2 linked regions of the Arabidopsis thaliana genome follow. The protein of the gene in region 1 interacts with the protein of each later gene in a pairwise test. Each region holds a gene or a part of one and is shown in the gene's direction. Other genes may lie near its edges.

Region 1 (5,007 bases):
CATCTATTGGGAATCTCATTAATCTCAAGAAATTGGATCTCAACAAATGCACGAAGCTGGTATCACTCCCGCAGCTTCCAGATTCCTTATCAGTTTTAGTTGCAGAATCATGTGAGTCCTTGGAGACACTTGCTTGCTCCTTTCCGAATCCCCAAGTTTGGCTCAAATTTATTGACTGCTGGAAACTGAATGAAAAAGGGAGAGATATCATCGTCCAGACATCGACAAGTAACTACACGATGTTACCAGGTAGAGAAGTGCCTGCGTTTTTCACTTACCGAGCTACCACTGGAGGTTCTCTGGCAGTGAAGTTGAATGAGAGGCATTGTCGTACATCTTGTAGATTTAAAGCTTGCATCTTGCTGGTTAGAAAGGGTGACAAAATTGACTGTGAGGAATGGGGGTCCGTATATCTTACCGTCCTAGAGAAACAGAGTGGTCGCAAGTATAGTTTAGAAAGCCCAACTCTATATCCACTTTTAACTGAGCATCTGTACACATTCGAAATCGAAGCAAAAGGTGTGAAATCCGTAGAGCTTGTCATTAAGTTCCAATTCGGCAGGAAAAAATGGGAGATAGGTGAATGCGGGATACGCCCACTCTTGGAGGAGGACACTCACGTCGAAAGTTCTATATAATGACGTGATTGTATTGTCTATTTCCATATACGGTATATATGTTTGTAACACAGTTATTGGTGATGGTAAAAGAGAAGTTATTGGTGAAGGATGCTGAGGAAACGTGAAGCTATTATTACCAATATGGATACTGAAAAGAGATTCATTGGAGACAATGCTCCATTCAACTGGAGCTGTAGAGGTTGTTCTTGCGAAAACATGTGAAGGGATTCTGTAAGGAGGTTTATTAGGGCTCGAGGTCTTTGTTGTTGTGTTGTTAGTGGATCTTTCCATGACTTGTGTCGGAAGATATTGCTCTACATTGTTTTAGAATCTGATCAGGTCTTGGTTCGCGGCTTCTATGGAAGAATAAGAAGAGGAAGAAGAAGAAGAAAGTCTTGAGATTGGATCTTGCTGGTTAGAAAGGGTGACAAAATTGACTGTGAGAACTGGGGGTACGTATATCTTACCATCGTAGAGAAACAGAGTGGTCGCAAGTATAGTTTAAAAAGCCCAACTCTATATCCACTTTTAACAGAGCCTCTGTACACATTCGAAGTTGAAGCAAGAGGTGTGGAATCCATAGAGCTTTTGTTTGAGTTCGAATTCAACTTAAATGACGACTGGGAGATAGGTGAATACGGGATACGCCCACTCTTGGAAGAGGACGCTCACGTCGAAGGTTCTATATAATACGTGATTTTATTGTCTATGTCCATATACTGTATTTATGTTTTGCAACCGTTGGAGTTCAAATCGAAATCATTAAACATGTCTCTACAGTGAGAGATCAACAAAAGTTTAAGTCGAATTCAGTTTCTTGGTTGACAAATACAGGCTTATTAATCCCCCACCAACATAGAAATCCAGTTTCTAATCACACTTTCTAAAAGTATGAACCAATTTTTTTCTTTTTTAAAAATCTCTTTTACCAAATATCTGAAATCATCAAAACATACTAATAAGCATGTACTATACAAAACATAGATGGTTCAAGAAAAAACACACGTGAAATATAAAACAAAAGAAACAACGGTTTATATAAAACTAATCAACACGTGTAGACCGTATGATTCTCAACCGTAAGGTGCTTAGTTCGCCGTTACGGCACCATCCTCATCAGATCTAAGTGCCACATTCCTAGGAAACGAAACCCGATGAGCTTGACACGTGAAACGTCGGTTAGTAGCTTCTAGTAACTGATTTACTTTGGTGGTTAGCCCAAATGAGTGGTCCAATAAAAAAAGAAAGCGGGTAAGTCGTTGTTTCTGTTCTGTGAAGTAACAGATGAAAATTAATGGAAACGATCCCAAATTCCCTAGTCTCTAGCTTCCAACCCTAATTTCCGATTTTTTTGGTCTCCCAATCAATACCTATTTCTTCTCTCTCCTTCACAATCTCTCTTCGTTTCCAAAAGCTCTGTTTTTTTTTGTTGTCCTTTTCTCTCTTTTTTTCTTTCTTCCTCATAAGGAAAGTTTTTATGTTCAGCATCTGATTCATGGAAAGTTTTGTTTTGTCTTAAATTAGGTAAGTTTTCTCTTCCTTCTTGGGGATTTTATTGACAAAAGTATGAATCTTTGAAGTGGCCAAGTGGGTATCGTTTGCTATTCCATTGATTCTTGGTGTTGCTCATTGTTAGTTTCAAAATGTGTGTTGTATTCTCTTTGTTCATATGAGTGGGTCATAAGTTATGCAGGATGGGTAGAGTGAAGCTAAAGATAAAGAAACTACAGAACATGAATGGACGTCAATGTACGTATACGAAAAGGAGACATGGGATTATGAAAAAGGCTAAGGAGTTATCGATCTTATGCGACATAGATGTTGTGCTTCTCATGTTTTCTCCCATGGGAAAGGCTTCAATTTGCATAGGCAAACACAGGTCTGATCACACTTTTTTTTTAATACCAAAGTATCTTTCACATTGTTCTGTTTAGTTTGATGTTCTGTTTTTTGGGTTTTGTTTAGCATTGGAGAAGTCATTGCTAAGTTTGCTCAACTCTCTCCTCAAGAAAGAGCAAAGAGGTTTCTTCTCTTCACTTTTACACATTTCTAGGATCTAGAATCTTTCTGCGTTGACATTACACTGAACATATAACTTCTTCGATTTTTGTCTACGTTTGAACAGGAAGTTGGAAAACCTTGAAGTAAGTAGTGGTTCTTGGCTCTGTTTAGTCTCTCTTCTCTTCTCATCTCCTAAACTATCATTAATACTATTTCTTTTTCATAATATCTTAGGCCTTGAGGAAAACTTTCATGAAAGCTAACCACGATATAGATATATCAAAGTTTCTAGACAGAATTAGGTGTGTTATATTATATCAAGAATATGAGATTCTTTCTGAACTCTTTCTCTGTTTGTTCTTGTTTAGTGTTGTTGTGTATTACTACTAATGTGACTCGTTTTTGTTTTCTTTTACAGTACACCAACAGTTGAGGTATGTACAACTACTATGATGTTAATAAATGATTCTGAAGTATCTTCTAATTCGTTTCGCGACACGGGAATTTTCAGGTGCTTAGCGAAAAAATCAGGTTTCTGCAAACACAATTATCAGATATACACACACGACTAAGGTGCAAATATCTTCTATCTACTTCAGTTAAATCTTCCTTTTGGTTTTGGTATTCTAATTTGTGAGTTACATGGTTTTTTGAGATAGCTACTGGACCGATGTAGATAATATCGACAGCGTAGATGTTTTGCAGCAACTAGAACATTCACTAAGACAATCTCTGGCTCAAATCTATGGTCGTAAGGTATGATCTTCCTCCCAAATAATCAAATAATGAGTTAAGGTCTCATTTAACAAAACTTATGCATCTTATTACGACTTATAGGCGAGCATGCCGCAACGTCAGCAGCAACAACTTATGTCCTCACAATGCAAAAACCAGGTAAGGATTCATCACTCTGGACATTATAAAGATGTTTTGAGATATGTATAAACATAGAGCCAAAACATTGTGTTTATGCAGTTGCAGACTGAAATAGATATAGATTTCGGAATGGAGATGGAGCAACAACTTGAGAATTTCTCATGGGTTCGTACCGATGAAAACATGAATGTTCCTATAGAAGAAGAAGACCCTAATCTGCAGCTTCATCACATGTACAAGGACATAACGTGTTCTGCAAGTTCAGCTCTTGGAAATTACTCAGGACTCTTTAGTAAAAGCTCAGATATCTTACAAAAACTAGAAACCGGTAGCATTCCCGGGACATCGGCTGATCCGAACCAACAATTCAGCAATCTCAGTTTCTTAAATGATCAAAAGCTTAAGCAACTAGCTGAGTGGAATCTATTAGGCAGTCCTGCGGATTACTACGTTAGCCAGATCTTGGAAGCTTCTTATAAGCCTCAGATTGGAGGAAAAAACAACGGCGCTTCTTCTGAAACATTACCTTATGTTGCGGTCTTCGATGATCCTCTATATTTTTGGGTAAATAACGGTTTGTTCATCATTCATTTGTTTTCAAAACTCTGTTATTACTGGTCTTGTTTTGCTGACTGTTTCTGAACATATCTAATATGCAACAGCCAAACTGACAAGTAGCTCCGGAAAAAAACATAAGACGCATTGATCCGAAAACGCGCCTTGTCTTTGTATCAACGAGTCATAAATGCCGAAGAAGCTAGGATTGATAGGTTACATGGACACATACTACACTAGATGATACTATTTTAAGTTACTTGTAACTCGAGAGTCATCTCCAAAAAGCGTAAGCAAAGTATTGTTTCTCGGTTATATACTATTTATAATACAAGTCTAAGCTGTGAACGAGAGATGTAAATAAATGCGTTTACCTCTGCTTACGCATCTATAAAATAACATAATATGAGTTGGCTAGAAAAATTTTGATTTGCAGTTTCCAAATCCTTAACTACACTGCAACCACCACATCAAGAGTTTATTATAATTTGAAGAAAAGTAATATTTAAGATGAACTGATGAAGTATTCATTTTGTCCCCATCAAATGATAGAAGAGTAGTAAACAGAGAAAACTGAATAGTCATTTCGAAAGTGTTCATGCAATTTCCCGATAATAGTTTGGAGTTGTTGAATCTCATAAAGGAAGAGTGCTCAGTGAATGCTTAAAATGAGAGAATGGGCTAAATAAGGCCCGTTGAGAAAATGGACGATGTGAAATATGTTGGTTAGCGTTTCGAGTCTGCGGGGACCCATAGGTACTCATGTGGGTAGTTAGAACAAAATATTGTCAGAAAAGCACATGGCTTCGGTTATTCTGTATCACTCGTGATTACTGTTACTACTACGTGCACGTCATTCTTCTTTTTTGTTTTCTTTTTGTCACAACATGCTATTTGCAGTATAGTATAGTTAATTTCTTATTATTATTCTGATGGCTGATTTTTTATTCTTTCA
Region 2 (4,127 bases), about 14 Mb from region 1:
AATTAAATATTCTTGTTTCAATATATATCAACTTTAGTGTAAAAGCCTTAACATTCTCTTGAATATTTAATTTATTTCTCCTTATTTCGATTTAATGACAAATGTGAATTAATTTTTGTGATATTTTTGTTCGAAATTAGTTTTCAGTTAATAACATACATGTGAGCATGGGACACACATGATTTAACAAAAGGGAATGACGAAATGATATATCAAAATATTAGTATGGGAACAAATTACGAGGTGAAACTTCACACTCAACTCAATTAAAACTAGAATAAAGAAATGGAAAAAGTGAAAGAATGAGAGGTCAAATGTGGTTAATCATTATGTGGTATTAGTTAATCCATCAATTGTGTACCCAAAAGCATGATTAAGCATAGAATTTAGAGAAACAAAACATCATTATTAATGTTGAAACACAAAGATCCCATCAACAGACAAATGATAAGTACAGTGCATGTAGGGTAACAACTTTTATGTACATGTTATATACTTATATTATATAATAAGAAAACGATTAAAGTGTCATTGCTCCAGCCTCTATTTGTAAATCATATTATATCAGTATGCTTAATTCCAATAATTAAGTCCATAACTAAAATATATACACATATATGTATGTTAAATGGTTGAATATATACATATATTTTCATAAACAAATATTGCTAATTAATTCAGTTATTTGTGTACATAATCCAACTATCACCTTTTTAGCTGGAAGTGGATATTCCAACATGTCAGTCTGTCACTCCCACATTCATACTCTCTATTCTTTTTAGCTATTTCAATATCTACGGTTAAATATTAATGGCTATATAGCCTTACCCTTCATTTTAGTTTTTTTTTGGTATTCGCATAACCATCGAATACTCAAACTTACTATGTAAGATGGTCTGAATAACTATTTCCGATTTAAGATGAATAGCTAGATTGAAATATACATGCACTAATTGGACATGCACTAAAGGCAGAGGTGAATTAAATGATGAAATGAAGATGAAGTGTCACACTTGTGCAAAAAGCATGTCCCCTGCTCTTCTCCGCTTGTTTCAATTTCTTTGACTTTCATCACGTTTTTGTCACTTAAATACACCAAAAAATATAGTACAATTAAACATCGAAAATCGTCCAAAAAGAAGAAAAAAAATCATGGAAAGTTCTTTCGTTAATGTTACACACATTATCTTGATTAGGTGACACCAGATATTAGAATAAAAATGATAGATTATGAAAAGAAAAAAAAAATTGATGTATTTTTAGGATACATCGAAAGGAATGAACATACCAAAAACATGGGAAAAAATAGATAACTAATTAACATGGTAGAATGTAGATGACGTAGATCATGAAACGAGTGTGTGATATATTAATGAAAATTATTTTAATATACGTAGCTATATTAGAAAATAATTTACATTTATTTTCTTCTAAACAAATCTATACTTTATATTTACATACATTAGTAAAGACCAAAACACATGGAATTCAAATTCTGCAATAAGTAATTGCAAGAAAACACAAAGATTAATCCCCCACTAAACCCGTTTATTTACGTTAGTATTTTTCCGTTTTATACATTACACATGACATGACATTACACGTCAAAAGAAATATGTCTTACGTCAGAACTTACGTATGATCAAACTCGATTTAAACATAGAAACATCTGTTTACTAAATTATACTAATTTCATAAAGACACTTTAATGCATGAACTTCTTTGTTTAAATAACAATTTCCCCCTTTTGGGGGCTATGTCTCGTCGAGTCCTACCACCATTATAAATTATCTCATCGTTTGCTTTCTTTTTTTTAAGTTGTAACCATTTCCACTCGTAATCATACAACTTCTCTACTCTTCTAGAGCAAAAACCCAAAAATATATTGCTATCTTCGTTAATGGCTGATAATAAGGTCAATCTTTCGATTAATGGACAATCAAAAGTGCCTCCAGGTTTCAGATTCCATCCCACCGAAGAAGAACTTCTCCATTACTATCTCCGTAAGAAAGTTAACTCTCAAAAGATCGATCTTGATGTCATTCGTGAAGTTGATCTAAACAAGCTTGAGCCTTGGGATATTCAAGGTTAAACCCTAAATATGAAAAAAAACTCTTTCATTTCTACGAACTCTCTATTTCTTTGTTCTTTATTTTTGAACCATTTTGGTATGCAAATGCAGAGGAATGTAGAATCGGTTCAACGCCACAAAACGACTGGTACTTCTTCAGCCACAAGGACAAGAAGTATCCAACCGGGACCAGGACGAACCGGGCAACAGTCGCTGGATTCTGGAAAGCTACCGGACGTGACAAAATCATCTGCAGTTGTGTCCGGAGAATTGGACTGAGGAAGACACTCGTGTTCTACAAAGGAAGAGCTCCTCACGGTCAGAAATCCGACTGGATCATGCATGAGTATCGCCTCGACGATACTCCAATGTCTAATGTAAGTATATATAGCAATCATCAATTTGCAGTTTAGGTTAGAATAAACAAATTACAAACTTATAGTCAAAGAATTAGCTAGATTCGTTTCATGCTATAAAAGGTTTTGGTTCATTTAGTACGCACTAGAGCCTTCTTTTAGCATCTGCAATTAAAGTAATCGAACATGATTCTCTGAGTTACAATAAGATAATTTCTTATGAAATTAACACATCATATATACATTTATATAAAAAGATTTTTTCACAAGGCTTAAAATAGTTTAACACGGCTCTACAAACAATACGTAGTTAACTAGTTATGGTTGCATATCCAAAAGAAAAACCAACATAAAAGATTTTTTTTTTTGTTTCAAAATAAAAGTTGCATTTTTACATCATCAAGATTTAATCATCTCTTATTGCATTTCATAAGATCGATTTGTGTTCCATTATCAGGGCTATGCTGATGTTGTTACAGAAGATCCAATGAGCTATAACGAAGAAGGTTGGGTGGTATGTCGAGTGTTCAGGAAGAAGAACTATCAAAAGATTGACGATTGTCCTAAAATCACTCTATCTTCTTTACCTGATGACACGGAGGAAGAGAAGGGGCCCACCTTTCACAACACTCAAAACGTTACCGGTTTAGACCATGTTCTTCTCTACATGGACCGTACCGGTTCTAACATTTGCATGCCCGAGAGCCAAACAACGACTCAACATCAAGATGATGTCTTATTCATGCAACTCCCAAGTCTTGAGACACCTAAATCCGAGAGCCCGGTCGACCAAAGTTTCCTGACTCCAAGCAAACTCGATTTCTCTCCCGTTCAAGAGAAGATAACCGAAAGACCGGTTTGCAGCAACTGGGCTAGTCTTGACCGGCTCGTAGCTTGGCAATTGAACAATGGTCATCATAATCCGTGTCATCGTAAGAGTTTTGATGAAGAAGAAGAAAATGGTGATACTATGATGCAGCGATGGGATCTTCATTGGAATAATGATGATAATGTTGATCTTTGGAGTAGTTTCACTGAGTCTTCTTCGTCTTTAGACCCACTTCTTCATTTATCTGTATGATTATCTATACATACACATACACAAAATATAAAATAAAGTTTGTTAAAAAATGTCTCATGTTCTATTGATAGTACGTCTTGATTTTGGGGTTTAACATTTGTTAATGGTGGAGGGTAATTTTTTTATAATATTTATAATCATAAAATTTACGAAGTTAAAGAATGATATTATATACAAAACTTGAATAACGACTCTTTCAATTGCTTACTAAGCTATTTTAGAAGTCATTACATTTAGTTCTTTATCTTTGACTATTAAAGCTAAAAGATGTCCAAAAAAAAAAAAAGCTAAATGGTAGAACTTTTCACATCCCTCATCTTTCATTCTACATTTCTTACATGCCCACTATTGAATTTGAATCCAAATTATGATACGAAGATTGCCATATTTGTACAACCACGAGAATATATGTTTATCGCTTAAATCTTTTGTATTTGCGAATCATAAAGCCCATAGGCCATAGTGAGAGTTAATATTCGGTAAATTTGTACTTTGGTTCAAACGCACATGGTGAATCCGTATTTTATAAAAAACTTTCTAAATTAATAATGAGTTAATGACAGAACTATGATGTATATGTTAATTTATAGTAATATTATTTTTTCTATAAATTTCAAAT

The links. Proteins that work in one complex are often made in the same cells at the same time.
Region 2: the proteins of AGL94 (region 1) and NAC012 interact in a two-hybrid assay, tested with the Arabidopsis thaliana proteins (one large-scale study listed by BioGRID).

The regions. Positions count from the first base shown.
Region 1 is NC_003070.9:26,144,467-26,149,473, reverse strand, and holds AGL94 (AGAMOUS-like 94), read left to right. Parts: upstream 1-1,722; 5' UTR 1,723-2,144; intron 2,145-2,313; 5' UTR 2,314-2,314; coding exon 2,315-2,499; intron 2,500-2,585; coding exon 2,586-2,642; intron 2,643-2,745; coding exon 2,746-2,764; intron 2,765-2,811; exon of another isoform or gene 2,812-2,855; coding exon 2,856-2,923; intron 2,924-3,039; coding exon 3,040-3,055; intron 3,056-3,132; coding exon 3,133-3,194; intron 3,195-3,280; coding exon 3,281-3,377; intron 3,378-3,458; coding exon 3,459-3,515; intron 3,516-3,596; coding exon 3,597-4,139; 3' UTR 4,140-4,159; coding exon of another isoform or gene 4,160-4,168; 3' UTR 4,169-4,473; downstream 4,474-5,007. Other genes in the region: AT1G69550 (disease resistance protein (TIR-NBS-LRR class)), read left to right, coding at 1-638.
Region 2 is NC_003070.9:11,864,724-11,868,850, reverse strand, and holds NAC012 (NAC domain containing protein 12), read left to right. Parts: upstream 1-1,696; 5' UTR 1,697-1,900; coding exon 1,901-2,087; intron 2,088-2,182; coding exon 2,183-2,448; intron 2,449-2,884; coding exon 2,885-3,508; 3' UTR 3,509-3,622; downstream 3,623-4,127. UniProt on the Arabidopsis thaliana protein: Transcriptional activator of genes involved in biosynthesis of secondary walls. Together with NST1, required for the secondary cell wall thickening and lignification of sclerenchymatous fibers and secondary xylem vessels (tracheary elements).